3 linked regions of the Rattus norvegicus genome follow. The protein of the gene in region 2 interacts with the protein of the main gene of each other region in a pairwise test. Links are inferred from orthologs where the notes say so. Each region holds a gene or a part of one and is shown on either strand. Other genes may lie near its edges.

Region 1 (10,424 bases), on a different chromosome or scaffold from region 2:
TTCCAGAGAAGCCGGGTTTGGTTCCTACAACACACCTTCGGCAACTCACAGCTACCTAAAACCACAGTTTCAGAGACTACAAGGCTGTCTTCTGGTCCCCACGGACCAGCATGCACACCATGGTGCACACAAACTCATTCCCTACCCAACAAAGAATAACAAATAAGATGGGCACTGACGGCACACATCTTTAATCCCAGCACTCAGGAGACAAAGGCAAGTAGGTCTATCTGAGTTGGGCCAGCCTGGTCTCCAGACCTTGTTCTAAGACAGCCAGGGCTACACGGAGAAACTCCGTTAGAAAAAGCAAAGCAACCAATCAACCAACCAAATCTTTAAAACAGTACATATTACAAAAAAGACTCTTGCCTGGGCTCATAATTACTTTGTAGGGTGACCAGACTAAAACAAAAATGAAGAAAAAGTACATTATCTGTTAATTCTGCACTAGAAGGCTGAGGCAATGAGGCAGGGGTGGGTGTTGGCGACAGTTGTTTTGGTCAGTGCAAAGCCAGCAGAAATTAAACATTAAGAATCATGGGGAGGGGGGGGTGTGGTTGGGGATTTAGCTCACTGGTAGAGCGCTTGCCTAACAAGCACAAGGACCTGGGTTCAGTCCTCAGCTCTAAAGAAAAAAAAAAAAAAAAAAAAAAAGAATCATCTGGGGTGGGGTTTTTTAACCACATAACACACTCAACATTAGTGGTAGATCACAATTATTGACTAAATATTAAAGTTTTGAAACTTTTGACATCTTGATATGAGATTTGGCTAAATGGGTTGAACACAAATCTTTTAAGAATGGCTATCTATGGGCTGGAGGGAAGGCTCAGAGGTTGAGAGCAGTTCCCAGCAACCACATGGTGGCTTCACAACCATCAAAAGTGAGATCTAGCGTCCTCTTCTGGCATGTAGGCACATGTGCAGGCAAAACACCTGTACATAATAAATCTTAAAAAAAGAATGGCTACGTGCATGCTGAAGTATTTGCAGGGAAGTGGTTGTTTTTGCAATTTAGGATGGAAACATTCTAAGGAACAGCAGTAACAGACAGCAGTACAATAGAGTAGTACACCAACAATTCACGTGAAGCATTCAACTTTTATATAAATCCACAATTATAAAGCATTAAGAAAAACAAACTATTAGAACAACACAAATAATACTGGCTAATTCTTTTCCCTTAACTTGCTCTGCAGAATTAAAGGCACAAGAATTTGCTTAATTCTTTATGGGAATGGAAAGATTTCAAAAAGGAGCCTTCAGGGAGTCTGCAAACATTATGAAATGTTATTTTTCCTGCTTGCCTGTAAAGCCCTGTGTTAACAGCACCTCTTGCTGTCAGCAGGATGACCCGGAAAGCAGCAACAGAGCAGAACAGATCCAAGTGGCAAAGCCACAGGAATACTTGCCTTCACATCATCCTGGCTGGCAAGCAGGCTACTGCTGGGGTGGATAAGGATTCGGTCTTCTCTCTTTGGATAATCTGGATTTTCCAGGAGAAAATTACAAAGTCTGCAAAGTAACCCACACAATGTTACATAGTACTTTCCAAAGCCCAGACTTGCCCACTGAATCACAAAATACTTGAGGGGAAAATGTCTCAGAGACACAGGACAACTAAATTATCAAGGAATTAAGATGTACCAAGTTGGGGGGTTGGGGATTTGGCTCAGTGGTAGAGCGCTTGTCTAGCAAGCACAAGGCCCTGGGTTCAGTCCCCAGCTCCGAAAAAAAAAAAATAAGAAAAAACAAAATAAACAAAGATGTACCAAGTTGGGGTTGGGGATTTAGCTCAGTGGTAGCAAGCGCAAGGCCTCAGCTCCGAGGGGGTGGGGGGGAGATATACCAGGTTGGCACATTCCTGTAATCCCTACACTTGAGGTCGAAGCAGCAGGAGAATCTCAAACTTGACATTGTTTCAACTTAGGGGAAAAGAGTTAAGATATAGTATCCATGACAAACTAGCAAATAACAAAGACCAGGACAGCAGCCCTCTGATTTCATTTTGCTAGAAGTGATGGTGCACAAACATAACCCCAGCACTCAGGAGGCTTAACTCCCAACCACTGAAGCTGCACGGGAAGACTCTACTCAAACAAAACAAAAACACTGAGCACACTGACAGATGCAGACTCCTCTGAGCTTTAACTTCCAGAGGATGACACTTCAAGGAGTACCACCTAAACTGCACAGAACAAGAGTGGAGAAGGAAAGTGGCCACTCCTCAAGGAAACTATGAGCACATATAAAGAGGAGAAAGTGCACAATCAAACACATTTGCGATCAAGTTCAATTACTGAGCAAATAAATGAACTCCAGAACATCAGTGTCCTTTGCATCCTGTTGTGGTAAAGTAAGCTTCTGGGTACTGCGTCAGTCTCAGCTTATCAGCCAACTCCAAGACTGATCAGCAGACCATGTCTTCTAGGACAGACTCTCTTAGTATCAAGCCTGAGGCTTCCTCTACTCTACATCACTGTTGAAATGCTTCAAGCTAAGATGAGATAGCACAAGCTAACCCATGACGACGCACCAATGTCAAGACTCAAGCAAAGTCAACTATCCAGGCTCTTCACTCGTAACCAAGCCAAGTCAGAAGGCTGGACAGAAGGCCAGCACAGCAGTCAGTGCGGAGGCTGGCCTGGGTGGGGCTCAAAAGCAGAAAGTGTGAGCTCATAGGGAAGTAAGCTTTCCTCTGTGTTTTGCTCCTTTCCTTGCTATGGCAGATTTGTAGAATCAGCTCCCTTAGATCTCTCACCCATTTCCTTTCTTATCCAACGTCAGTAGTGTGTCTCTTAACAGTATAACAGATATGGCAAGAAGAGAACAGAGAAAAGAAGTCCCTTTCTAGGGTCCTCTTCTCACCAAGATGCCAGTAAGAGGACCTACAAGGGGGGATCATATGTTGGAGACAATGAGAAGCTGCAAATAGTGGCATACATTGTTAAAATCCCAGCACCCAGGAGGCAGAGGCAGCTCAATTCCAGGTTAGCCAGGGCTACACAGTAAAACCTTGCCTCAAAAAATAAATAAAATAAACATCATTAAAAAGGCATGAAAAGTAGCTGCTAATATTTTTTCAAAGTCTACTCCAAGGCCTGTCTTTCCCAGTCTGTTCGGGTATAAAAGAGTTTTATCCTTAATCAAATTCCCTGAGGCTAAAAGAACAGTGAGCTTTGAGGCTGGGAAGAGATGGGGAAGTTAAGTGTTCAATGGAGAGCCTCAGTTTAAGATGATACCAGTTCTGGAGATCAACAGTTGAGAGCGCTATACAGTAATGGGAAATGTGTTTAATAATACCATTCAACTATATGTTCAAAAATAGCCAAAATGTTACCTATACTTTACCAACAAAAAGAGAAAGAGGGGGGGCTGGAGAGATGGCTCAGCGGTTAAGAGCACCCGACTGCTCTTCCAGAGGTCATGAGTTCAATTCCCAGCAACCACATGGTGGCTCAACCATCTGTAAAGAGATCAGATGCCCTCTTCTGATGTATCTGAAGACAGCTACAGTGTACTTATATATAATAAATAAATAAATCTTTAAAAAAAAAAAAAAAAAGAGAAAGAGGGAGCATGGTGGTGTGAATAGGGATGGCCCCCATAGAGTCATGTGTTTATATATGCTTGGCCTATAGGGAGAGACGCTATTAGGAGGTGTGGCCTTGTTGGAGAAGTGTGGGTGAGCTTTGAGGTTGCCTATGCTCAAACCATGCCCAGTAATAGTCTCTCCTTGCTGACTGAGGATCAAGATGTAGAATTTTCAGCTCCTCCAGTACCATGTCTGCCTCCTGCCATGATAATAATGGCCCATACCTCTGGAACTGTAAGGCAGCCCCAATTAAATGCTTTCCTTTATAGGAGTTGCCTTGGTCATGGTGTCTCTTTATGGCAATGAAACTAGGGGTGGGGTGGGGGGTGAGGGGGCTGGCAGCAAGCATGGTAGAATACTTACACATTCAAATCATAGTAATTTTTCAAATGAATTATCTCTTCAACATATCCATTTGCTACGTCTGGAAATCTTGCTTCCTAGAAAGAAAGAAATATTTATATTTTGTTCCTTAGAATGGATTTGAAGATAATAAAAATCAAATAGCAGAAAGTATACAAATTGCCTTAAAACCGGAGAATGGCTGTAAAGCAGCCCTGTGCCCCTAGAGCTGCCTATAATCCTAGTACTTGAGAGGTAGAGGCAGGTGGATCTCTGAATCCAAGGCCAGCCTGGTCTACAGAGTGAGTTCTAGGACAGCCAAGGTTACAGAGAAAATACTGTCTTTAAAAAAAATAAAAACACCCCCCCCAAAAAAAACTAGCAACAACAACAACCATTAAAAATGTATATAGGGAGGTTGGGGATTTAGCTCAGTGGTAGAGCGCTTGCCTAGCAAGCGCAAGGCCCTGGGTTTGGTCCCCAGCTCCAGGGGGGAAAAAAAAATGTATATAGGGGCTGGCTGGAAAGGAGGTTCAGGTTAAGAGCACTCACTGGCTGCTCTTCCAGAGGACCCAGGTTCAATTCTCAACATCCGCATGGGAGCTTACAACTATAACTCTAGTTCCAGGGGATCTGACACTTTCACACACACATAGACACAGGCAAAACACCAATGTGCATAACTTAAAAATAAAATTTATATCTATAGTGCATAACTTAAAAATAAATTTTATATCTGTCTATCTATCTATCTACCTACCTACCTATCTATCTATCTCTTACCTACCTACCTACCTTCCTATCTCAGCTCCTAGTCCCCAGATCAGATGGGGCCTACAAAGACCTTTAGAGGTCATCTACCCTGTCCACTCTCCATCCTTCGAACAAACACTGAGAATACAGGCCAGAGATCAGAAAGGAACATTCCCTACACCTGCCTTCAAACTCACCCCCTACCCCCAGGGTCAAATAAAAAGACCTAACAAATTAGGAGACTTAGGGAAGGCAAGCAATAGCTGATCTCAGAAAACAAAGGCCTGCTTTGCTCTCTACTGCAGATATCCTACAGAATCACGACTATTAAGATGACTGATGCACTGGAAACAGAATGTAACTTTATTCAGCTCTCAGAGATTTACAATACTCACAAGAGCTACTGGTTGCTGTATTAGATGGCCCAGAGCTAGGAAATATAATAAACAGGAACATAAGGCCTTGACAAACAGGAGTTTACAAGAATGACAGCATCAGGCTCCATTAGGTACAACTAGCACCAAGAGCCCTCCCTGGAGGTAGAGGGCACAGGCTGGGTTGTAGGCTGTCTAGCTATCTGGGTTCCTTTCTTTCACCCTAGGTATGTCCTTCTTTGGAAAATAAAGCTTACTTATACAACAAAGCATCTCTTTACTGCAATGACAGAAAACAAATGTATAGTATCAGTATTAGTAGCATAGCATTCTTTAATAAAAAGAAATGACCTTACCGTTTCTTTCACTAACAGTGGAATGAGCTCTTGATCCCCTTCAGCAGCTTCTTGTCCCCACACATTTGCCAAATTGGCCTCCTGGGGTCCTGGCAGGGGGTAGGCAGGCCCAGGGTCTTCATCAATTGCTAATTGCTGGTCTTCAAGCTCTCCTAGAGGATGGGCTGGTTGTGGAGAAGCGGGTCCTGGAATCCCCTCCTGCTGGGGTTCTGGCCTTGGAAAAGCTGGCTCCGGGAAATCATGGCGGAAAAACATTGGGCCCATTTCTGATTCAGAATGTCGCTCTTGGGGCACAAGCTGGTTTGTTCTCTCCTGAGGCTGTGGATTCAGAGCCTGGAAGTAGGGATGGTCAAGCCAGTACTCTTCTTCAATTAGCTGCTCATCTACTGAGGCAGCTGGCTCACCAGGATTTGATAAAAGATCTGTCTCTGAGTCTTCAGATAATTGGTTCTGAACTTCCAGAGGCTCACTTTCTGAAAAAAGAAGACCATTTTCTCCCAAAATAATGACTTTCTGCTCCAGCCTGGGGCTGACAGTATTGTCTGCTGTCTGCTTATTGCTTGGTCCAGGTTTGGCTTCTCCTCCTTTTTTCTCAGTCTTAAGATCCAGAAATCCACCACATTCATCCTCAGAATCATCCTGTGCCCCAGAATCAAACAATGAGTTGTTACAAAAGGAAAAATAGCTGTGGGTATCTGCTTCAAAGTCTGCTCTAGATTTTCTAGGCCTTTCTTCTCCCAATCTGTTCAGATCTTGCCACTCGGCAGCTGGTTTGATGAGATTGGGCCGGGATGTCTGAGGTTTATGTGTCTAAGAAAAAAATGAAATTTTAATAATAAAAATTCAATGTCCTTCCTGTATCTATGCCTGGTTCTGGGCTTGTAATGAAAGGATAAAAAACAAATAAAACCAGAAGCATCTCAAGGGAAAAAAACTATCCCATTTTTTTTTTTTTTAAAGGTAGGGAGGCTCAGAGTACACCTGGCTGGCCTTGAACTCACAGAGATTTATCTGCCTCTGCCTTCTAGGTGCTGGGACTAAAGGTCTGCAGCATCATAAATACCATTCACATTTATTTTAGTATTGAAAATTGATTATGTCCAAAGTAGAGGCTAGAAAGACAGCTCACCAGTTAAAGTGTGATACATAAAGCACAAGGACTTGAGTTTAATGCCCAGCATACAGACAAAATACAGGGACAGTATATGTGTGATCCCAATGTCAAGGAGGCAGAAAAATGCAAATTGCAATGGCCTCCTGGCCTGCCAGTCTAGTCAAAACGGTAAGTTCTAGGTTCGCTGACAGACACTGCCTTTAAAAAGCAGGTGGAGAACAACAGAAAATGACAGCAACCCTCAAGATTTTCACATGTGTCTGTAAGTGAATGAACCCTCACACATTGGTCCACAACCGTAACATACGCGGTCATGAGCGTGTATAGGCAAGAACATAGAGAAAACTAGAAGCCAGTGAGAATGTAAAGTAGCAGAACCACTGGCAGGATACAACAGTTTCTAAGTGATGCAGCAACTCTACCTCTTGGCATACACAAACAGAATGAATACATACAGTCATACGCAAACTTTACATGAATGTTTACAGCACAACTACATGATAGTCAAAAGGTACAATGCGAAAGACCATCATTGGTTGTATACACAAACAAGATATCTGCAAAATTCCCAATTACACTGAACCGTAAGCCACTGATGAGGTGATTTAAGAGCATGCACAATGTGCTTCAAGCCACTAAGGTATAAGGAGAGGTAACAGGAACATGCAGCTGGGTGCATGCCTTTAATCCAAGCATGCAGGAGGCAGAGGCAGGCAGAGCTCTGCGAGTTAGAGGTTAGCTTGATCTAGTGAGAAACCCTGTCCTGAAAAAAAGGAAAAAAAAAAAAAAAGAGGCTAAACACAAAATAAAAAAAACTAAAGCAGTAAAGGAACCACTTAAGAAATGAAGTCTGTCAAACATGAAAAAGCAGAACTACAAAAGACCAAAACAGAAAATAAATGCAAGTACCACTAGGTACATTTCAGAGTTGTGTCTTGGGTGAAGAAAATGAGTAAAACCAAGAAAATGAACTAGAAAAATGGCTCAGTTGTTAGAGAACACTTGATGCTCTTCCAAAAGACGAGTTTGGTTCTCGGCACCCACATCAGGCAGTTCATAGATGCCTGTAAGGCCACCTGATGTCCTCTGTGGCCAAGAGCACTTGCACACATGTGGCATTTGTTCTCGCAAACACATAAAAATAAAAATAAACCTTAAGAAAAATGATTAGAAAGAAAGGAAGGGAAAACAATGGTTAGTTTATAAACAGGAGAAATCCCAGTATGGTACCATGCATTCCTAACCCCAGCACTCGGAAGTGAGATGAGTCTGTCATTTCTATAACAAGTTCCAGGCCAGCTGAACTATATGAGACCCTGTCTAAAAAGAAGAGGAAGGAAAAAAAAAAAAAAAGAAAGAAAAAAAAGAAAAAGTGGGACTAAAATAATCAAAATAGAAAGGGAAACTGGGGGGTTGGGGATTTAGCTCAGTGGTAGAGCGCTTGCCTAGGAAGCGCAAGGCCCTGAGTTCGATCCCCAGCTCCGAAAAAAAAAAAAAAAAAAAAAAAAAAAAAAAAAAAAGGGAAACTGGAAAATCTACAGAAGTAAAAAGAATAGACTTTAAATTTTTTCCATATATTCAAAACCATGAAGAAATAAAACTCAAACTATTTTCAAAAAGTCAGCATCAAGTTCATAAAAATGCATAAGTCGGGGTGGAGGCACCTGAGAACTATGAAGGAATTAAGTTGTTATAGTAAGGCGCACTATATATACTATGGGTTAACTGTAAAGAAGTGAGAGTAGTAATGTGGTAACAGAAGGAGAAAGGGCACAGGTCACAGAGAGGGTTAACACTAAGACACAAGAGGCAGATGGGAACAGGTTGTTTTCATTATGGACAGTTTGAAAACACTCACTTCTGTCAGGATGACATCATCATCCAGGTCGTCTTCCTGTTGCTCAGTAGCCGGGGTAACCAGCATTGGAATCCCTTCCTCATCAGAGGAGTCAGATATGGTGATGGGCCCCTCTCTGACAGCCATCCACTCTACAGTGAGGTAGAAAGCATGAGCTCACTCAGTTGGCCAAGCCTCAGCAGTTAACTTAGCACGACAGTGCACACAGCCTCAAGGAGTAAGAACTGCTTCCATGCTGATTTTGCCAATAACACTGAGAGATGCCAGGCAAAATGTATCAACTTTTTCTATGTTAGGGGTTTGTTTGGTTTTGGTTTTGGTTTATGGCATGGTTTTATGCTATACCCATGGCTGGCTGGCTGGCTTGATACTATGAAGACCAGACTATACTCAATCCTCCACCTCAGCCCTTGGAGTACTAGAAATACAGGCACTGAATCTGTTCAAAAGAATCTGTTTAGTTGGGTACATCGATGCACTAGGAAGATCAGAAGTTCAAGGCCATCCTCTAGGCATAGAAAGATATAGAACCCAAATTGAGGGAGTGATACTTTGCCTCAAAAAAACAAACATGGGGTTGGGGGATTTAGCTCAGTGGTAGAGCGCTTGCCTAGCAAGCGCAAGGCTCTGGGTTCAGTCCCCAGCTCCGAAAAAAAAAAAAAAAAAAAGAAAAACAAAAAAACAAAAAAACAAACATAAACCCAAGTCTCCTGAATGAGCTATGTCCTCAGGCCAACTGCAAATGTTTTTCATATATGAAATTATTTTATTATGACATTGTCATAGAACTGCCAGCTTTTAGAGACTCCCCATATATAGTTTTTGTAGAAATGAGACTGATTTGTTAAACAACTACATATGAAAGGATGCTCAAAAATACTAATATATTTACTTAAGATTTAAAAATCAGTTTACTTTATACAGACTACTTAAGCAGACTTTTCCATTTGAATCAAACATTTAGCATCCACTGAGCAATCATCTGGCATCTAGGACACTGGGCAATTTAAGTTACCTGCTCTCATTTTTATAAAGAAGCCATGCAGCATTTTTTAAGACTTATTTTATTTATTATGTATACAGCATTTTGACTGCACGTATGCCTATAGGCCAGAAGGCGGCACCAGATCTCATTATAGATGATTGAGGGGCACCATACAGTTGCTGGGAATTTAGGATTCTGGGAATTATGAGGATTCTGAAGGAGCAGAATCTCTCAGAGGAGAAACCAAGCTCAGGTCCTGCTCAGCGGGCAACTTTACTCACCGAGCCATCTTGCGAGGCTGCAGAGCTCTCAGGGCTAGGCAAGAGCACTGCCACTGAGCTATATCCCCAGCCATGACTTTGCTTTTATGTTTGTCTTTCCTTTAGACAAGGTCTTGCACTGTAGTTCCATTATGTATGGAGCTCACTGTGTAGCCTAAGCAAGCAAACACTACAAATCAAGGGCTCGGTTCCACAACCATGGAACCCTGACAAACCAGGAAATAGTTCTACATCTTTGCAGGCTCCTTGTGCCTTTTCCCACCTCCACCCTCTATCCTACTCAACTCTACAGATGAGGCTTGGTTGGTTGGGATTCCTGTGTCTCACTTTCTTGTAAATTGCATGCCTGGGATACATCCACACTGCTGTGATGACAGTTCTCTTTGCTGCATGTGAATCTGCTGTGAATGTACCATAAACAATTCATTCTTCCTGTGATGGGCATCTGAGCTGGTGCTGATGTGGACTATTTTGGATACTGCTGGTATGTACATGCTTTGAGGTGCTCCTTTCAGTTGGGGACAGTCTGGGAATGGACATTCTGAGTCACAGAGTAAGCACATGTTCAATCTTGGGAAACAAACTGTATTGCTAAGCTGATGCAGCAGACACAGGGTCTGCTATTTGGGCCTTAACATTTGCTGATCCCTAACCTGTACTCCTAACTCCCCAAAGCTTTGCTATACAATACATGTACATTTTTATGTATTAAGTTTTCTCTAAAACATGGATTTACTTTGGGCTAATCTGAAGCCTTTTGTTATGT
Region 2 (10,424 bases):
TAATTGCTTTTTTTTTTTAAATTAAAAAACATTTATTCGGTGAGTATTTTGCTTACATATATGTGTTAACATTACCAGAGTGCCTGGTTCTGAGCCACCATGTGAGGTCTGAGAACCAAACCAGGATTCGAACTTTGTGTGAGTTTTATGCAGGCTTGTATTCCAGGGTGGTCCTGAACTCATTATGTAGTTAAGGATGACCTGCCTGATTCTCTGGTTGTGTCTAGGTGTAGGATTATAAACCTGTGCCAGCTTTATGCTGCACTGAGATCAAACCCAGGGCTATGTGCATGATAGACAAGCACAACTGTGACAAATTTCTAGTGCCCTGACCCAGATGGTTTTTTTTTTTTTTTTCTTTTTTTCGGAGCTAGGGACTGAACCCAGGGCCTTCCGCTTGCTAGGCAAGCGCTCTACCACTGAGCTAAATCCCCATCCCCTAAACAATATCCTTGGAATGGAGCTGACATCTATCTCAAAATACTCCTCAGCAATTTGGTATGAATTCCGTCTTCTGGTACACAGGGTTATTACTTTATTTTTCTTCCGGATCTTCCAATTATTGTATTTTAAGTCAGATGTCTCTAGAATGCCGCAGGCCAATCAAGCCTACTCACTTCAGAGTTACCTAAATTCATGGTTTTGCCTTCGCTGATACTCAGGTTCTGCTGATTTTGTTACATCTCATATAGACTGGACATATGCATTAGAAGTCATATCTTTTTTTTTTTTTCGGAGCTGAGGACCGAACCCAGGGCCTAGCGCTCTACCACTGAGCAAAATCCCTAACCCCGACCCAGATGTTTTATACTTTTCCCTGACAACTCTGAGATCTATTCGAACAGACCAGCAAATCAGGTAATAAGGCTGGGCAGTGCTGAAGGAACGAGGAACTACAACTCCCGGTAGACATCTGACCCGCCTCACACATTAGTTTAGGTAAGCGGGCGGTGAGTCTGCCTGTGAACCACAACTCCCGGCGTGCATCGGTATACTTCACCTATTTCCGGCGCAGTGGGGGCAACAGCGGAACACCTACCAAAGAAACCACATTTCCCGGCATACCCACGGGCGCTCATTACGCATTTCCGGCGCGGCTGCGACAGCGCGCTCCCGGCAGCTACGGCGACGCGGGCAGTGGCAGCGAGGGTACAGCTCCTGCCCCTTCAGTGACGGGCGGCCAAGCTGACAGGAGCCGGGGCGGGGCGGCGGCGGCCAGCGAAGGAGCGCGCGGCGGCCCGGCCCCGCCCCTGGTCCTCCCGCCAGCCCCAGTGACCTTCACGGGTTCGGGCGGCGGGTGCAGGCCCGGGCGGCGGCGCGATGTTCGTGCAGGAGGAGAAGATCTTTGCGGGCAAGGTGCTTCGGCTGCACATCTGCGCAGCCGACGGCTCCGAGTGGCTGGAGGAGGCGACCGAGGACACATCGGTGGAGAAGCTCAAGGAGAGTTGCCTCAAACATGTAAGGCCGAGCTCCTTACGACCCAGTTCCACCTCTGCCTCTGTTCTGGAAACCAGAAACGTAGACTTCTGTCCCAGACTCCGCCCCAGCCCCCCAGACTCCCATCTGCCCGGACACTCCTCTCTCTACCTAGAGGATGCAGCCTGCTGTTCCCAGCCTTCGCTTCTCTGGGCAGGGGCAGCGCCTCCCGCTCCTTTTCTCTAACACCTCGAATCACAAACCTAGCGGCTCAGAGAAGAGCATCTGACCCAACTGTTGGGCTAGCTTTATTTAATTTCTGCAACGTGCTACGGAGGTGAAGGCGAGAGTTGAACGGAGACCGGGAGAGGCAAAAGCAAGGGCTTATGGTTTTCTTGTCTTGGGCTTGCCCGCTGTTGGGATAAGGTTTTAGTTTTCTCCAGAAGCTGGAAGTAACTAGATCCCATTATAAGAGGGACAGCTTCTTGCCTGAAGAGCCAGCTGCTAGGAGCCTGGATTTGGCACTTAGCTGTAGTCACTTAAAATAGTGCCACTGTGGGACAAGTCCCTAGGCTTCTACCTTCTGCTAGGGCAACAGTTGATTGAGTGGGAAGGTCCAGGACAACCGTCTCCTTGCCAGCAAGTGGCATTTAAGTTTACTTACATTCAGTGAGCTTTGTACTATAGTTAGCCTTTTAGTTTTAGATAGTAAAGTCTTGGGATTAGTTCTTGAAGCCTTCCTGGCTCTAACTGCTCTCAGTTAAAGGTGAGACAGATACCTGTTAAACACTGGTGGTCTAGGAAGCATTATACCAGACATGATTAGTGCCAGAATTTATGTTGAAAGTCCCCTGCTTTTTAAAGGGGACTCTTGGGAAAGTTAGAACTCTACAGTGGTAGGTCGCATTAAAGTTCAGCATTGTGTTTCCCTCTAAAGATGATCTTTGAGTTACTGTAGCAGCTGCTTGCAAAGGCTAGTTTAACATCCGTGTGCCTCCTTCCTGTAGTCAGTGTGTAATGATGTCAGGTAGGCTCCAAGAGATCTACAGTGCATTAGATGTTGAGTAACCATGGGTCTTGGTGTCTGTGGTTCACCTCAGTGAGGCCCTAGGGTGAACAAATGTATTTAGATTGCCCAAGGAGTCCTCAACCTTTAAGCTTGTGCCCAGAGGCTCAGCACAAGCTTAAAGGTTGGGGACTCCTTGGGCATCCAGACTGTTCCTAGCATCCTCGCTGGTCTAGTACTATGCTGTGTCATCCCCTAGGTCTAGTTCCTCAGGGCTGAGCTTGGAATACCTTGAAGCCCGTGTACGGATTGAGGGAATGAAATGTGTTGTTAGCCTCAAACCACGTCAGCATGGGATGTCACCTTCACTGCTGTGGTGTCTTGTCTAACTCACTCATGGTGTAGACTTACATAATCAGCATGACACTATTTTATGAAGGGAGTGAGGAGACGATTCGATTCATAGATGCTTATTAATAGATTTTAGGAGCAATGGGGTTAGGCAGAAGGTTTTGATATGATGCTAATTTGTGATACTTAATATTCTAGTTGACATGTGGAGTTGTATCATTTTGACCATTTTTGTCATTATTGTTTAAATTGAGACTTTATTCTACTCCACATTCTCCAGGTATGAGGGCTGAAGCAGCAGGAGAATTTCACAGCACATGAGCTGTTGTAAAATTACAGGACTAGAGAGCAGAGGCATCAGAATTGACCCACCTCCAGGTCCCAGCAGCTCTAGGAGTTACAATGCATTTATTAGAAAAGAGGACTTTCTTGTTGTACCTGACTGTGTACCTGGAAACCTGTCCTGCATAAGATGTTGCTGTCTTGACTTGACTTCCTTTCTCTTTATTCTCCTGTGCACACAGGTTACTGGGGTTGTTATTACTATTATTTTTTCCTTCTTTCTTTCCTCTCTTCCTGAGGGGTTTGATAGAGTTTTTTAAAATTTTTCTCCCACAGGACTCCTTGATACAGTACAGCTTGTTATTAAAATTCTTAAGGAAATAGACTTGTTTTTGCCTTCCCTTTTTTTTGTTTTATCCAAAGTGACTTCACAGTGATATTCCCCAGCTTCCACTGCCTATGTCTGGGAAGGGGGCACAGTAAGCCCTCCTTTCTGACGAGGGTTAGTAGTGGGATGGTATGATGGAGCTGCAGTGTGGAGGAACTTTTCTGTGGTATCAAGCATCTGGAGGAAGCACAGGACTTCTCTTCCAAAGCCTGAACTGTCCCAGGTCCTGTGGAGATTCATGCCCTGTCGTCTTTCCATGCTATACACTAGCAGATATGAGCAGAAGCTAACGACAGTCACCTACAGGATATGTGCGTGCAAGCATAGGGTTGTGGTGGTGTGTGGTGTGACAACCTATGACATGTCTTGTTCCTCATGTGCTGCTGGCATGCCTCAGAGTACAGATACTATTTTTTAATTGCATTTCAGACTGTATTCTGAACTTGACAAATATGCTAGGATTAGCCAGGGATTTTAGAATTTCAAAGCATCCCACTTAATATTTTTGGAAGCAGAATGGGTGTTCCACTGTTTAGGGGTGTTTATTTTGGCTCATGGTTTGAATATGGTTCTTTATGTGGTAGTGGGCCGTGGGGTGTAGTGGCAGGCGGCTGTGTCGTTGGGAGTCTGAGGCCGCTTGCTCACGTCTTTGGATCAGGAAGCAGAAAGGGCAGTGCTGGCGCTTGGTTGGCCGACTCCTCTGGAACTCCAGCCCTTGGGATGGGGCTACAACATTCAGGCTTGGTTTTCTTCCCCTCATTTAATTCTCTATGGAAAGCTCTCATAGGCATCCAGCAGTGTGCCTTATCAATGCCGTAGGTGTTTCTTAATTCAAACAAATTTAAGATCCATTTTCAGGTTCAAGGAAAGTCATGTTCTCTGCTTAGTCACAATGGTGAAGAAGTCAGTTGTTGTGGGGTGGATTTATCTCATAAGCCCGTAGTAACCTTTGTCTGTGTATGATGGTCCACTTTTTAAAACTGGTCCCAGTCTGAGACTGAGATTACAGGGTCTAGAGGGAAATGCATGCTTCAGTTTTTCCTTCTCTTCTGGTTAGCAGCCATATATACGGAGGCCCTTTGTTGAATGTATGCATCATGGTACCCGAGATGCCTTCCAGAACACCAGGGAAGGCCTGAAGAACCCTGTGTCCTGAATGTGCAAGGTGGCCCATTCTGAGACAGGCCAAAGCTTCCTCCTCCTCCAAGCCTGTGTGTCAGCCCCTTTCAGGTTTTAGAAAGCACTAGTGAGTCCTCTGACTGGGTTTCCTGGACTTCTTCCATTCTCAATCTAACACCAGGGACCCATAGTGGCAAGAAATACTTATAGCCCTTGGCCTTGTTCTGAGTCTGGAGAGGGCTGAAACTGACTTGGTATCATGTGTAGTATGTGGACCTGAGAAAGTCATGTGATGCTGGGCAGTGATGGACTTGTAGAAACGTCTACAAACTCGGGTGAGTACACCTGGTGACAGACACACAGGCACAGTGAGCCCCCATTTGTGCTATGTGGTACCAGCAGTGTGTTCTTGGTCTTTGTGGGACTCTCATTGGGGACAGTGTGTTTGCATTCTGTGTGGGTGAGTGCTGGAGCCTGCTGAGATTATAAACTACGTTTGCCACGCCTCTGTCTACAGTCTGGTGGAGGATTGAAGGGACTGCACAGCCTCCACTCAGTATGTGAAGTCATTTGTCATGAGGCAGATGCCTGTGAGATCACCTGCTGGGTCCCTTCAGAGCACCGGTGGTTTGCTTCCCACCTCCTCTGCTGATGCTGTCACTAGGGTCTAGGGCCCTGAAGACATAAGCACTGCCGTGTGCTCCCTGGTCTCCTGGAGTGTTGCTTGGGCCCAAGGCTAGCTGAGGCCAGTTGTACCCTGTGACCTGCTGAGGACTTTTTGGTAGTCAGTGGGCAGGTGTCGCCTCCTTGCTCCTGGAAAGTGGTGGTCTTTCTGTGCAGTTCTTCTGCCTTTTGTGTGTCTGCTAAAGAAGGAAAAACAAAGCATAAAGCAGCTAGAGCTTCAGATCCTCAGGAAACAACAGGCATATATTCATCTAAAAGTCATTCTCCAGATCTTTCCAAACTGAAGTGATTTGGGTTGCAAGTTCTTTTTTTTTTTTTTTTTTTTTTTTTTTTGGTTCTTTTTTCGGAGCTGGGGACCGAACCCAGGGCCTTGCGCTTCCTAGGCAAGCGCTCTACCACTGAGCTAAATCCCCAACCCCGGGTTGCAAGTTCTTATCAGTGGGATCTGTGTTCCCAAGCTCTTAGCCATCCCAGGAGTCTACTGTGGGCTGGAAATAGGCTTGAAAGTGTGGAGGGATTGTGTGTGGGACTCTTTACTGTCGTTAATGCTTTAATGTCTTGACTGGTATGAAAATGCAGTAATTCCATGGGTTGGGTGATGGCGCAGTTGGTAACATGGCTGCTATACAAGCATGAGGACTTGGGTTCGGATCCCAGTACCTGTGTAAAAGCCAGTGGCAGCAGCATTTCTGTAACCCTAGCATTAAGGTAGGGGGAGGACGAGCTTGTTGGCCAGTCAGCACAGTTGCATTGATAAGTCAGGTTCAATGAGAGATACTGCCTCATAAATAAAGTGGGTAGTTGAGGAAGACCGCCCAACATTAGCCTCTGGCTGCCATATGCTTGTGGAAACACATATACCTACCCACATGAAAACACATATTCCTACACACATGAAAACACACATATCCAGGACACAGAGACAAAAACGACAAGAAACCTCAGTAATTCCATGGGTGGCTTGAGATGTATCATAATTTACTTCCAATTTAGAGATTTGTGGCTTAATTCTTCCCCCAGGGTGCTCATGGGAGCCTAGAAGACCCCAAGAATGTGACTCACCATAAGTTAATACATGCTGCTTCAGAGAGGGTGCTGAGTGACAGCAAAACGATCTTGGAAGAAAACATCCAGGACCAAGGTAAGGAGGCCATGAGGCGGAGTCCACGGAGCATGGAGCCTGTATCCCAGGGTCACCCACAAGGCACTTTTCCGAATTTAGACAAGAGCAGGAGAACCAGATTGACTCCTTTTTTTGTTGTTTTGTTTTTAATTAAAAGTAGTGCGTGTGCTGGGGATTTAGCTCAGTGGTAGAGCGCTTGCCTAGCAAGCACAAGGCCCTGAGTTCGGTCCCCAGCTCCGGAAAAAAAAAAAAAAAAAAGTAGTGCGTGTTTGGTTGTACTTGTGAAAAACAGCAGAAACCTAAACCGGACAACTGGCAGACATCTGAGAAGCCAAACTCAAGTGTTAAGTTTAGTCCTGTTTTAAAGCAAAGCCAGATTCTGGAGCTCCTTTCTGTGGCTTTATTTTTGTGCTGGAAGTACTCCTCACAGGCTAGTACTGTGGCCAGCTGTTTGAGGGTCCGAGTGCTTTTGTTCTGCACACCCACTTTTTATTTATGCTTGGCTCTGGGACAAAACTTGTTTTCAAATAAGGACTTATGATGAGCTATGACCAAACTCAAAATGGAGGGGGAGGTAACCCCACGTCCCCTCCCCCACCATGGTGAACTGGCTGTAGGTTGCTCATGCTTTAGAAGAGCCCTTGAAAATAAAGACATTATGCAAGATGTCCACTAGTGCTCTGTGTGGTTATCAGGGATGTGCCGTGCCTACCTCTGAAGCCTCAGGTCATCTATAGTGACCTAGTGACCACTTCAAAGCTGAGGAGGGGATGCTGGCTTGGCTTAGGAGGGACCCAGGATCCTGCTTTCTAACTTCAAGCATTAAGCACTATTCTTGTGTGTCAGGTGCATATGTGGTTTGTGTGTGTGTGTGAACACACAGATATGTATGCATGTGTAAACATGCGTGTGGAAGTCTGGGTTGACATCTCTTAACTCATTGAGGCAGAGTCTTGCTGAACCTAGAGCTTGTCTATACAGCCATCCTGGCTAGGGATTCCCAGTCTCTGCCTCCAGGTAGTACAACTCCGGGCAGGCTGCCTGCCCATCTGTCATTTACGTGGTTCTGAGGATCTGAACTCTTGCATAGCAAGCCTGAAAACACGGAGCCATCTCCTTAATGCCCATCTAGTACCTTTTATGTCATTTTTGGCTGTGGGACAGTAACTTACTTCATCAGTGTAATTTACTTTTTTCTAGACGTCTTGTTATTGATAAAGAAGCGTGCTCCTTCCCCAATCCCTAAGATGGCTGATGTCTCAGCAGAAGAAAAGGTAAGTTTCAACATTCGGAACTAGGGCTCTTCACTGCTAGGTGTCTCTTATGTGTCAGACTTCAGAGAAGTCCTTGAGTTATTTTCTGGGAGTGTATAGCCCCTCCACAGTATGTGTGCTGTAAGGAGCCTTTCATCATGGCTGAGCCTGTTCCCTGAGTGTGTTTGTGATTGCTAAACAGCAACAGAAGAGCTGCCACTGGTCTGGAGGCAGAAGAGAGTGACGACACGGTTCTCGAAGGTGCTACCTCCGCACTGCTGCTAGTGTGGCTCTTGCACACAAGGAGCTGGCATGCAGAGAGGTGACAAGCAGCTGGTTGGGCCTGTGTATTTCCTTGTAGTTATGCTGAGTTCTATGTCCTGAGGCCTATGTTAGAGGATGATCTGTGGCTTGCACCTTCTCTTCTCTAGGGGCCTTAGGAAAACTACCCCTTTGTCTCTTTTGCCCCAGAGCACATCCTTCAGCAAAATTCTCTAATGCAGTGCAAGATGTATCCTGTCAGTAGCCTGTCTACTCTAACAGCAGACCACATGCCTGTGCCTAGTGGGGAAATTGTTTATAATATTATTTTTTTATTTGTGTATTTCTGTGAGTCTGTGCCTGCAGAGGCCAGAAGAGGCTTTCTGATCCCCAGGAGCTAGAGTTATAGATGGGTGTGAGCCTCCTGAAGTGGGTGCTAGGAGCTGAGTGTAGGTCCCGTGGAAGAGTAGCAAGCACTCTTTTTCTTTTTCTTTTTTTTTTCGGAGCTGGGGACCGAACTCAGGGCCTTGCGCATGCTAGGCAAGCGCTCTACCACTGAGCTAAATCCCCAACCCTGCAAGCACTCTTCAGTGCTGAGCCATCGCTCTAACCCTAGGACGTGCTCTGCTAAGGGCAGTCACCTGTGTTTAACTGTCTCAGGGCTCTGGAGTTTTTTATACGTGCGTTCAAATGCCAGGGAGTGAGCGTTAGTCTTAGGGAAGGATCACACCAGCTCTTGGGTGGACCTGTGACCTGATAGCACACGAGTTATTTTGGGATCTCTACTGGGGCCAAGGATGTAGGAGAGTGCCAGGCCTTCTCACCCTCCTTATCTTTGGCCACCTGGCCATGGCGATGGGTGGGTGTGGGTGTGGGTACAGTCAGCAGCACATGGGCAGGCTGCCCCATCCATCTTCACCAGACAGATCCTGGGCCTCTCCCTGCTTTCCTAACTGATAGATAGCAGAGCTCGGATTACAGCTCTAACTGGATGTTCAACTTGAAGTCCCTGTAACTATTAAGAACATAGTTCTGGGGCTGATGAGATGGCTCAGTGGGTAAGAGTACTGGCTGCTCTTCCAAAGGTCCTGAGTTCAATTCCCAGTAACATGGTGGTTCATGTTAAGGGGATTCAGTGCCCTCTTCTGGCAAGTGGGTATACATTAAGAATACTCATTAATAAGTAAGCTAGAAGGGGCTGGGGATTTATCTCAGTGGTAGAGCGCTTACCTAGGAAGCGCAAGGCCCTGGGTTCGGTCCCCAGCTCCGAAAAAAAGAACCAAAAAAAAAAAAAAAATAAGTAAGCTAGAAGCTTGCTAGAGTTGCCTTGACACAGTACATAACTGCAAAGTTAAAAATCATGGCATTACTTAAAATTCTAAGTCAAAATAATGCAGTTATTAAGAGTCAAAGAATACTACAAATCTAATAATAATTGACTCAGGTTTCCTGAAGGAAGTCACTCAATTTGTCAGTGTTGGGGACATATTCTGGCTGCCTTATGCATGCCACTGGCACCCCAGCCCACCTCTAATTCCTTCAGCTGTTATCCTCAGTAATTCTCTTCCTGCTCTCTAGGTACTCTGCATTCATTGCTCTTTCTGGAATGGCAGCGTTAGATGTGCCTCTTAGTGATAAGGACACAGCTCCACTCCTAGGCTCTTCTTGTGTGACAGTGAATGCTGGGCAAAGCCAGTCCTATTTACTTACTGTTGTCATCGAAGCACTCATTTCTGTGAGAAGTATAGAGTATTAGGATTTCTTTTTCCTCTTGAGCCTTGGGATGTAGCTTAGTGGTTGAGCTTTGTCTTGTGTGCCTAAGGCCCTCAGAGGCTTCTAGCCTATGTGGATTGTTTGAGTTGCTACCCACCGTGCAGCCAGCTCTCTGATTGTCTTTGTGTTGGATGTTGGGTTCCTGTTGCCTCCTTTGGTTGCCACAGAACTGCTTTCTGAGCGTAGTTCTAAGGCTTGTGAGGACAGAAGGCTCAGCTGAGGTTGTGAGAAGAATGTGCTTCTGGATTCTTGCAGACAGTTGACAGGATTCTGTCACTATGGTCAACCTTTAGTTCCTGAAGGCAGTTTGCATGGCTTTTCATCTTTGCCAAGGAAGCAGAGATTTTAGTGGTTGAACCCCCTTGTTGGAAAGAGTGATACCCTTTGTAAGGGTTCTAAGTGCCAGGCCCAAAAACCCATTTGCTTTTTCTACATTTAGCTGTGCCATGTGATGAAACCCAATCCAAGGACTGATCACCTCGCTTACATCTTAGGGTTTTGCAGACTTGGGGACTGTCAGCAGGAAACATGTGGCTGTCTGAGTTCTGTTCTGCAGAATTGAATACCGTCTGTCTTCCTTCGGTGTGTCAGACTTGGCATCACTGTGACATAACACCTATGGGAACATCCTAGAGGAGGAAGGTCTTATTGTGACGTACACTTTTCCAAAGTTTCAGTCTGGGATCATCAGCTGGCGTCACTGCTTTTAGGCTGTAACCATGCAGATATGTGGTAGAAGAACCTGGCAAACAAAAGCTGTCCACTGCA
Region 3 (10,424 bases), on a different chromosome or scaffold from region 2:
TTGTGTGATAAAAACTCATCACTGAGGTGGTATTTTAGCATTGTTGTGCATTAAAATCAATGGCATCATTCAGTGACTTATCTTAATTTCTGCCTTTTGCTGAAGGTGGCTTTTCTTTGATTTACCTTGATAACTTAAGTCTCATTAACTTACAGAATTATTTAACGTGTTAGCTCTTATTAACTTGTAAGTCTTAAGAGTTACAGACATCCTGCTTTGTGATAAGTAAATATGTAATATTAAATTTAGAAAGTTACATAGTTCATTATTAATGGTTATCTAACAAAAAACAGTGGAAAATTGAGGTCTCTATTGCTTTGTGAATATTGTTTTCTAGGTTTTTTTCTTCCCTTTCTCTTTAAAAATTAAGTCTTTTTTTTTTTGGCTTTTTGTTGAAAAGTGGAACAATAGCCATGCACTCTTGGTGCCTACAGTATCTTTTGATCATATAGCAAATTTTTACTTGGTCATCATTATGTTCTCTAAAACTAGCTCTTGTATGCCATTTATATGCCAGTTCCTAGTACATTGTACACATGAGAGATTGTTATGACTAGCTATCTCTCTCTCTTTTTTTTTTTTTTCTTTTCTTTTTTTCGGAGCTGGGGACTGAACCCAGGGCCTTGCACTTGCTAGGCAAGCGCTCTACCACTGAGCTAAACCCCCAACCCCTAGCTATATCTCTTAAGTTGCATTTTTCTCTCTCAGATTTCCTTCAGAAGGGTAGAATAGTTCACATTGATATTGGTAGGATAATTTGGTCGTGGAAAGGGATGTTGAGAAATTGAATTACTTTTTTCTTCCTCAGGTCACTTTCTTTGTTCTTTTCCTCTTCCTGGCTTATCTGCTAGGCATGTGAGTGACATCCTAGCAATGCTTTGATTCTGCTGGTGACAGTGGCAGTTGTACTAACTCCTATGTGTATACTTTTCATTTGCTAATGTACCTGGCTAGATTTTAAAAGTCAGGTAAGGGGTTGGGGATTTTGCTCAGTGGTAGAGCGCTTGCCTAGCAAGTGCAAGGCCCTGGGTTCAGTCCCCAGCTCCGGAAAAAAAAGAAAAGAAAAAAAAAAAAAGTCAGGTAAGTAGTAGCTCTTTGTTTACTGAGAGTAATACAATTATTGCAAGATATTATTTGAATAGCTTTATGTATTTTTTTTATTTCACTAGATAATTAAGACTTTGAAACATGTATATATCATATCTATCTCTATGTGTGTGTATTTTAGTCACCTATGGCTTAGCTTATAAAAACATTAGTAGGGGTTGGGGATTTAGCTCAGTGGTAGAGCACTTGCCTAGCAAGCGCAAGGCCCTGGGCCCGGTCCCCAGCTCCCGAAAAAAAGAAAAGGAAAAAAAAACCCATTAGTGTTCTCAGAGTAGATAAATAAGATCTGAATACCAAAGAAAAACTGGTGTCTCACATGTGGTCCGTAATAAAGACTTATAATAATACCTTTGTGTGTGTGTGTGAGATGGTATTATGACAAATACTCTTTGGAAACTTGTCTATTTGCATTTATGTGTGGTTATTTTTAAGAATATTTTCAAGGAAGGTATTAGTTAAGTCACCAAGAACACATCTATTATATAAAATAAGAAGAGACTTGTATTAAGATCTTTGGGCCTTTTCCTGTCTGAGATTTTTAAAATAAGAAAGTTGAATGAGGGGCTGGAGAGATGGCTCAGCGGTTAAGAGCGCCCGACTGCTCTTCCAGAGGTCATGAGTTCAATTCCCAGCAACCACATGGTGGCTCACAACCATCTGTAAGGAGATCTGATGCCCTCTTCTGGTGTATCTGAAGACAGCTACAGTGTACTTATATATAATAAATAAATAAATCTTTAAAAAAAAAAAAGAAAGTTGAATGAATCGGTATTCACATTTATTTACTATTCTGACTCATATAATCTAATGTTATTTCTGTATCTTAGGAAGCGGAATATGGTGGGCATGATCAGATAGATTTGTATGATGATGTCATCTCTCCATCTGCAAATAATGGCGATGCCCCAGAAGACCGGGACTACATGGATACTCTTCCACCAACTGTTGGTGATGATGTGGGTAAAGGGGCAGCACCAAACGTTGTCTATACTTACACTGGAAAGAGAATCGCATTGTATATTGGAAATCTAACATGGGTAAGTAAACACAGATTGTTGGCAGTCATTTGAACTGATCTAGCAGTACATGGTTTTGCCCAGCTTTTAAAAAAAATAGACATTACAATATAAAAAAATTAATTTTTTTCATGTTTGCCCAAGTGATGAGAAGGGCAAAACCAACTTCTTTTAAAAAGACATTGAAGTTAATATAATTTGGAATTTTGTAGCCTGGTTTGGGGATATTCTACTTGAGTTTGCAATTGTGTTCACTCACCCTTTTTACGTTCCTACCAGTTTCACCAAGAAAATTGTTCACGCAGGAACTCAAATTAGGAATTTAAGGTTATGGGACAAAGAAAGATAAAATGCCACTATAGTTTTAAAAATATTCCTTATTCTAATTCATATTATAAATTTAAGTTTCATTTCTGACTTTAATTTGAAATTAGTTAGAAGTTGTTAGACACTTTAAAATATTTGTTGCCTGGATATATTTTGTATTTTAATTGTGTTGTTGATAAGATTCTGAGACTATTGGTAAAATTCCTCATGAGCACTTGTCTGTTAACATCAGACCCTACAGTCACTAAAGCAGTTCTAGAAATGTCTTTATCTCAGCTATTATATTGGAAAGTTAAAAGTTATAGCAACATGTTGACTTCTACTCTGCTTATAGAATTTTATGTGAAAATATTTAACTTCACATCGTTTTATTGTCTTGATTTTATTTTATGTATATTGGTATTTGTGTATGCATGCTGATGCACCACATGCATATAGTCATTCAGGGGCCAGAAGAGGGTATCAGATTTCCTGGGACTGGAGTTACATGGTTGTGAGCCATTTTGTGGATGTTGGGAATTGAATTTGAGGTCCTCCATGGGGCCTTCTCTCTGGCCCTCACATTGACTGAGTCTCCTGTCATCCAGTCTGAACAGTCCTCACAAAATTGGAGTAATGGCAGTGTAACTTGAGATTTAGCTGCTAAATAATTGGTGGTCCACACCTTTAATCTCAGCACTGGGGAAACACAGGCAGGGGGAGCTCTGAGTTTGACGGCCAGCCCGGTCTACACAGTTAGGTCCAAGATTACATAGTGAGATCCTGTCTTAAAAAAACAAAACAAAAAATGGTGTTTTTGCTGGGTTTGGTGGTCCATGCCTGGGGAGGCTGATCTTGAGTTCCAGGACAGCCTGGTCTGCACAGTGAGTTCCAGGACAGCCATGGCTACACAAAACCCTATCTCAAAAAAAGTAAAAAAAGGAATTGGTATACGCTTATGTTTCGTGACTTTGAGTAAGGGGTTTATCCCAGACTCTGTTGCATCTTATGAAAATAGTGACTTAGGTAAGAGTTAAATGTTTGATATTAAATTGGTATTAGTTACCTACTGTAGTATGGTAGGTACTATACAGTATCTCTACTTAGATTTGCAAAAATAAAAAAATTTCCTTTATCACTTGTTTACCTTTAAATGTTAAATTCAGTAATAAAACCTGAATATGTCTTAATGGCTAATAAGGGGAAATGTCTTGCAGTGGACAACAGATGAGGACCTAACTGAAGCAGTTCATTCTTTGGGAGTAAATGATATTTTGGAGATAAAATTTTTTGAAAATCGGGCAAATGGACAATCAAAGGGGTAAGAATTTAATTTTTCCTAATGTAATCTGATAGTGACTACAAGTTAGTTTGCCTTAAGTTCAATGCTGATGACACACATGTGGATGACATCTCTGCACTGACAGATGGCTTAGGTAGTAAAAGTCCTTGCTGCACAAACCTGACAGTCTCAGTTCCTAGGAAGCCACATGAACACACTAGGAGGAAGATCTTAGGCAGAGGTTCTCACTTGAATTTTCTATTTTCTGATTTTTAAAAACACACAGAAGCTGCCTGAGATAGGACTGGACAGACTAGGCCTGTTTCCTGACTATACTGAGTTCGTTCTATATACTATATGTTCCTAAGATAGAAACAACTAGGCTAAGAAGTATTATTTTTGTTGTGATTTAAGTGATAAGGAAGTGTCAGATGGTGGTGGCACAAACCTTTAATCCCAGCACTTGGGAGGCAGAGGCAGGCAGGAGGCCAGCCTGATCTGAAGAGCAAGTTCCAAGACAGCTAGAGCTACAGAGAAACCCTGTCTCAACAGCCCTACCCCCATACACCCCCAAAAAGAAAAAAAGATAGCGAAGATCTGGGTATTTAGCTTGGCGTTGGAGCCACTTGCCTGATGTGTGGGTTTGATCCCAGTACCCTAAGAATAAAAGTGATGGAGACTAACTGAATAGTGCAACCTAGGCATCTTGTTCCATTTCTCTAAGATTATTATATGAGCATTGTATAATGCAAGTATCTAAAAGTAAGAAAGTGAATGTGTTTTCTATGCTTTCCTCTAAAAGATAGTATTATAATTCATATTTAGTCATGTTTGATTGCAAAGAGCAGGAGAAATGCTTGTGATAAATACATCTTTTCTTATTTTTGTGTATTGTTGTTTCTACTTGTGCCTCTTAAATAATACAGTAAGCACATAATTGGATCTTTTTACATTAATTTATTTTGCATGTGTATGAGTACAATACAGTACTTACAAATATATATTTACAAAGTTAAGCAACCATTGTAATTCTTCTAATTTCAGAATATTTCATCACCCTACCAACCCCACACCTCCACAGAAACCCTATGTCTGTTAGCATTAATCCCCAGTCTCCCTTGTACCCTTTGCTGATAAGCATTCATGTACTGTCTACTTCAGAATTTGCCTATTCTGGGTATCTTATAAATAAATTGTACTGGATATTTTATAATTACAATAATATTAATATCCCATGTGTCTGACTTCTTTGACCTGGTGTCATGTTTTCAAGGTTCCTCTGTGTGACAGCATCAGCATTCCTTTTTATACCTGAATGATAATCTCATATAATAGGGTAGCACTTAATGAGGAATATCCATCTGCTGAGGAATGTGTGGGTGGTTTCTACTTTTAGCTGTTAATGTGGTCAGCCTTAATAGTATACTGTTTTGTGTGAACATAAAGTTTTGCTTGTTTTGGGCATATATCTAGGAGTGGAGTTAGTAGGTTATATGGTAAGTGTGTTTAACTTTTGAAAAGCTGCCAGATTGTACATTCAACCATGCAGAAAGAAGGGTTGTAGTTTCTCATTACCTTACCAGTACTGAATAGCTGTGATTTTGATTATAATGGGAAATTGCATCTCTATGGTTTTGATTTGTACCTTGGCAGGCAGTGATACTGAGCATTAGTTCGTTATTTTATGTGTACAGGTGTTTGGCCTCATAGCCATGCAGACCGGAAGAGAGAATTGGCTCTCTTAAAACTGGAGTTATGAATGGTTGTAAGCCACCATGTGGTTACTGGGAATTGAACTTAAGTTCTGGAAGAAGTCAGTGTTGTTAACTACTGAGGAATCTCTCCAGCCCCTGAATAACTTTTAGTGGCAATAAAAAGTGACAACAACTCCAGTGCCTGCTACCTGATAGGTGGGCTTAAAGCAAAACCAAAACTGATATCTATAATGGAACATTACTCAGCCATGAAAAGGAATGAATTAATGATGCATGCTATAACATGACTAGATCTTTAATGCTCAGTGAAGCTGGTTGTAAAGAATTTCATACTCTATGAGGCATATCTATAGAGACAAAATAGATTCATTACTCCGTATGATTAAGAGACAAGAGTAAATAGGAATGTTGGTAGAGGCTATATCTTTGTTTTGGGTAATGATGTTATAAATGAACCTTCATGATGTTTGTAAAACACATGAATATACTTTAAAAATTATTAGAGTGTACATTGAGAGTGGATTCTGTAGTATATTATAAAAAGTAGTCCAAGTTTGTGGAGCCTTAAATAGTTTATTTTTTCTTCTCATAAAAGTAAATTAAGGGGCTGGAGAGATGGCTCAGCGGTTAAGAGCTGGTTGTTCTTCCAGAAGTCCTGAATTCAGTTCCCAACAACTACATGGTGGCTCCCAACCATCTGTAATGGGATCTGGCGCCCTCTTCTGTCATACAGGCATACATGCAGGCTGGACACTGTACATAATGTTTTCAAAAAAGATTAAGACCGTTTCTTTTTTTAATCAACAGCAACATTCTCAGTTCCTCCTTGCTTTTTATTCTTGCCCCCTTAACATCTTTTAGATTTGCCCTTGTTGGTGTTGGATCTGAAGCATCTTCCAAAAAGTTAATGGATCTTTTGCCTAAAAGAGAACTTCACGGTCAGAATCCTGTTGTAACTCCATGCAATAAACAGTTCCTGAGTCAGTTTGAAATGCAATCCAGGAAAAGTAAGCAAATCTCTCAGCAGCCTTTTTAAAAATGTATTTAAGCAGTGTTGCTGTCATTTGTTAAATATTACACTTAGGAAGTCATGTTACTATTTAATTTTACATGAACTTGATTTAATCATTGCTTATGACTATGGGTCAATATACTGGAAACCCACTCCCATTCCAGTTTTTTCTAGATAGACCAGTCAGTATGCAACAGTTTGAAAGCTCTCTGGTGCTGACATTCTTGTCCTGCCACTCTCATCCTGGAGAACAGAAGCTTCGTTCTAACCTTAGAGGAGGAGCCTCTACATGTATTATCTGCTCTGGTGGGGGAGAGGCTAATGAAGTAGTTACTGGGTTTTCTGCTTGCTACCAAGACCTTTTGCTGCTTGGTAAAATAAATATAGAAGACACTTGTTATTAGTAGAAATTCAGGTGGTTGTTTTGTTTTTTGGGGCATTTAATATAAGATTTATCTGAAGAATATATTACATGGCATAAAATAATCTGTTATTGAAATTAAGATTTCTTTTGAAGATTTTCTGTTTTGGCTATTGCAGAGTACTGGTATTTTAAAAGCAACTTGTTTATCTCTCAGTAGAAATACATTTAAATTTGAATATTTTAAGACTAGGAAAATATTTAAATAAATGTGAATGTTTTCCTTGCCAAGTACTTTAGGTCTGAGGCATCTAGAAATTGATGAGTAGTATAAATGAACTTTGAAATAGTCTCTAACAGCAGTGGTTACAACTCAGACACTTTTAATAAGTGCTATTTATGAGTATTTGGATGTTTGCAGCTACACAATCAGGACAAATGTCTGGGGAAGGTAAAGCTGGTCCTCCAGGAGGCGGTTCACGCGCAGCATTTCCACAAGGTGGTAGAGGACGGGGCCGTTTTCCAGGGGCTGTTCCTGGTGGGGACAGATTTCCTGGGCCAGCAGGACCAGGAGGGCCACCTCCACCTTTCCCAGGTAAAACTTTTTAAGTTATCATGGAGAAAACATGTCTGCCTAATACCTCTTTTCCTTTCTCTCTTTTTCAAGTAATGCATTATTAACGTGACTCACTCTCCTTGTTATGCTATTTTTGGAACCCAGGAAATTTGATCAAGCATCTTGTTAAAGGAACTCGGCCTTTGTTCCTGGAAACTAGGATTCCATGGCATATGGGGCACAGCATAGAGGAAATACCCATTTTTGGCCTAAAAGGTCTTTATTTTTCTCCACACTTGCTTGACTTTATATATAGAATATTTACATCCGTCTTATTTTCTTACTTCTTAAAAAATCCTTTCAAGACCATTTTCCCTGTTCCCTTGTAGCTTGGCATCAGAGTAGAGTGTAAAGTGGGCGACTTCCCTGTGAGAAGTGTGCGCTGAGAGATGGAAACTCAGTGTTAAAATCTTACCAAGTTCTCTGTGTAGTGATTTTCTGTAATCATAATTTGCACTAGTTAAATTTGTAAGGAAACTAAACTTTATCTTTGTAATTATTAGGGCATTACCCTGTGGGTTTCATTCAAAGAGCGAGTCATGGTTTATAAATTCTGCTTTTAGAAATGTATTCTTGACATGTAATGGTTAAATATCTTTATTGAAGTGATTTTTTCCCCCCTTTTCTCTCCTTTATTTTATAGCTGGACAGACTCCACCACGTCCACCTCTAGGTCCACCTGGCCCACCTGGCCCCCCAGGTCCTCCACCTCCCGGTCAGGTTCTGCCACCTCCTCTAGCAGGACCTCCTAATCGAGGAGACCGCCCTCCACCACCAGTTCTTTTTCCTGGACAACCTTTTGGGCAGCCTCCGCTGGGTCCACTTCCTCCTGGGCCTCCACCTCCAGTTCCAGGCTACGGCCCCCCTCCAGGTCCACCGCCTCCACAGCAGGGACCACCTCCACCTCCAGGCCCCTTTCCACCTCGACCACCAGGTCCACTAGGGCCTCCCCTTACACTTGCTCCTCCTCCACATCTTCCGGGACCACCTCCAGGTGCCCCACCACCAGCTCCACATGTGAATCCTGCTTTTTTCCCTCCACCAACTAATAGTGGCATGCCAACATCAGATAGTCGAGGTCCACCGCCAACAGACCCATATGGCCGACCTCCACCATATGATAGGGGTGACTATGGTCCCCCTGGGAGGTAAGTTAAACATGGAGTACTGAAACTCTTTAGTTGGTAAAAGATAAATTACTATGAAGTCTTTTATATTTTAGAAATATAGTTTTTGTCCTGTAGAAAGATCAGATTTCTAAACTGCAACAAATTCAGCTAGAAAAGGAGAATTTGATGTGATAGGGAAGACAGCTTTTTCCATCTGGAAAAGTAACAACTTCTCTAAAGCAAATGCCAAAAGCTGCTTATTTGGAGGTGTTTACATTATTATTAACTTGAGAACTTTTGTTAAGTAACAACATATCATTCCTTTGTCTTTTGTAGGGAAATGGATACTGCAAGAACACCTCTGAGTGAAGCTGAGTTTGAAGAAATCATGAATAGAAATCGGGCAATCTCTAGCAGTGCTATTTCAAGAGCTGTATCTGATGCTAGTGCTGGTTTGTATATTTGTTTCAGTCTTCTTTCCTATTTATGTTAAGAATCACCCTAAACCCAGAGGCTGGAGAAATGACTTAGCTGTTTAGAGCTGGCTGCTTTTCCAGAAGAACCCACCATCTGCTAATTCCAGTTCCTGGGGATCCAAGGCCCTCTCCTGCTTACAGTGCAAAGATAGACACGTGCCGTCAAAATACCCATACACAGAAAATTTAAAATTAAACGCAACCCAAAGCTAAGTGCAGCATATAAAGAATTTTCTTAATTCTTATGTAATCTGTATAGTTAGTCCCAAATCATCTGTCACTTAGTTTTAAAGTATTAAAGGAAGATTGTAATAGGAAGACTGCCAGTTTTGAATTACTAGATTTAGATTTAAATACTTATTGGGTGGAGAGGTGGCTCTGTGGTTAAGAGCACTGGTTGCTAGTGCTGGAATCCATTATCCTTCTTTTTCCTCAGTGGGTATCAGGCACACACAGGGTACACAGAAATGCATGCAAACAAAATGTCCATTTACATTAAGTTAAAAATAAATTCCAACTGGGGATTGGAGAGGTAGCTTAGGAGTTACACTGGCTGCTGAGATTGATTCCCAGCACCCGTATGGTAGCTCACCAACCTTTATAATTCCAGTTCCAGGGAATCTGACATCCTCTCTGGCCTCAGTGGGCACCACTCTTGCTTTGGATACAAAGACATATGTAGGCAAAACACTTGTGCACCTGACACGATATAAATATGAACTTTGGTGTTTTATGGTTCAGAGCCCTAGAGATAGCTTATTCATTCCCATATTTGCAAAGTAATAACTGTGTCTCTTCATGGCAGAATCAATTGTATTAGCTTCATGAAAATGAGAGTCTTCCAAACTCCAAAAAACTGAACAAAAGTCATTGTCTGTGGTCATCTGAAGATGATTTTCAGGTCAGGCGGAGATGACATATGCCTTTAACCCCTGGACTTGGAAAGTAGTCAAATTTCTGAATTTGAGCCAGACTGCTCTATAGACTGAGTTCTAGGACAGCTTGAATTCATCTCAAAAGATAATTTGAAAACAAGTTTTTTTTGATAATTAACCTTTTCTTTTCTCCTGCAGGTGATTATGGGAGTGCTATTGAAACATTGGTAACAGCAATTTCTCTAATTAAACAATCCAAAGTATCTGCCGACGATCGCTGCAAAGTTCTTATTAGCTCTTTGCAAGACTGCCTTCATGGAATTGAGTCCAAGTCCTATGGGTCTGGATCAAGGTAAAATGTTCCTGTGTCATGTATTTTTCACACACACACACACACACACACACACACACACACACACACACACACACACACACACACACACAATTTTTGGGGGCTTGTTTTTTCTTTTGGTTTTGTTTGTTTGTTTTGTTTTGTTTTTTTGGTTTTGTTTTTGGTTTTTTTTTGGATCTGGGGACCAAACCCAGGCC

The links.
Region 1: the proteins of Ubac1 (region 2) and Rnf216 interact in binary tests that used the Homo sapiens proteins (3 or more experiments, as listed by UniProt). The link is inferred for Rattus norvegicus from reciprocal best matches to the Homo sapiens genes UBAC1 and RNF216.
Region 3: the proteins of Ubac1 (region 2) and Cpsf6 interact in a two-hybrid assay, tested with the Homo sapiens proteins (2 studies listed by BioGRID and IntAct). The link is inferred for Rattus norvegicus from reciprocal best matches to the Homo sapiens genes UBAC1 and CPSF6.

Annotation. Positions count from the first base shown.
Region 1 is NC_086030.1:16,582,263-16,592,686, reverse strand, and holds part of Rnf216 (E3 ubiquitin-protein ligase RNF216), read right to left. Parts: intron 8,524-10,424; coding exon 8,393-8,523; intron 6,231-8,392; coding exon 5,421-6,230; intron 4,036-5,420; coding exon 3,959-4,035; intron 1,516-3,958; coding exon 1,413-1,515; intron 1-1,412.
Region 2 is NC_086021.1:29,236,890-29,247,313, reverse strand, and holds the start of Ubac1 (ubiquitin-associated domain-containing protein 1), read left to right. Parts: upstream 1-1,152; 5' UTR 1,153-1,320; coding exon 1,321-1,458; intron 1,459-6,266; coding exon 6,267-6,387; intron 6,388-7,569; coding exon 7,570-7,643; intron 7,644-10,424.
Region 3 is NC_086025.1:54,857,136-54,867,559, reverse strand, and holds part of Cpsf6 (cleavage and polyadenylation specificity factor subunit 6), read left to right. Parts: intron 1-1,934; coding exon 1,935-2,144; intron 2,145-3,646; coding exon 3,647-3,750; intron 3,751-6,287; coding exon 6,288-6,433; intron 6,434-7,220; coding exon 7,221-7,394; intron 7,395-7,520; coding exon of another isoform or gene 7,521-7,631; intron 7,632-8,058; coding exon 8,059-8,563; intron 8,564-8,860; coding exon 8,861-8,976; intron 8,977-10,073; coding exon 10,074-10,227; intron 10,228-10,424. UniProt on the Homo sapiens protein: Component of the cleavage factor Im (CFIm) complex that functions as an activator of the pre-mRNA 3'-end cleavage and polyadenylation processing required for the maturation of pre-mRNA into functional mRNAs.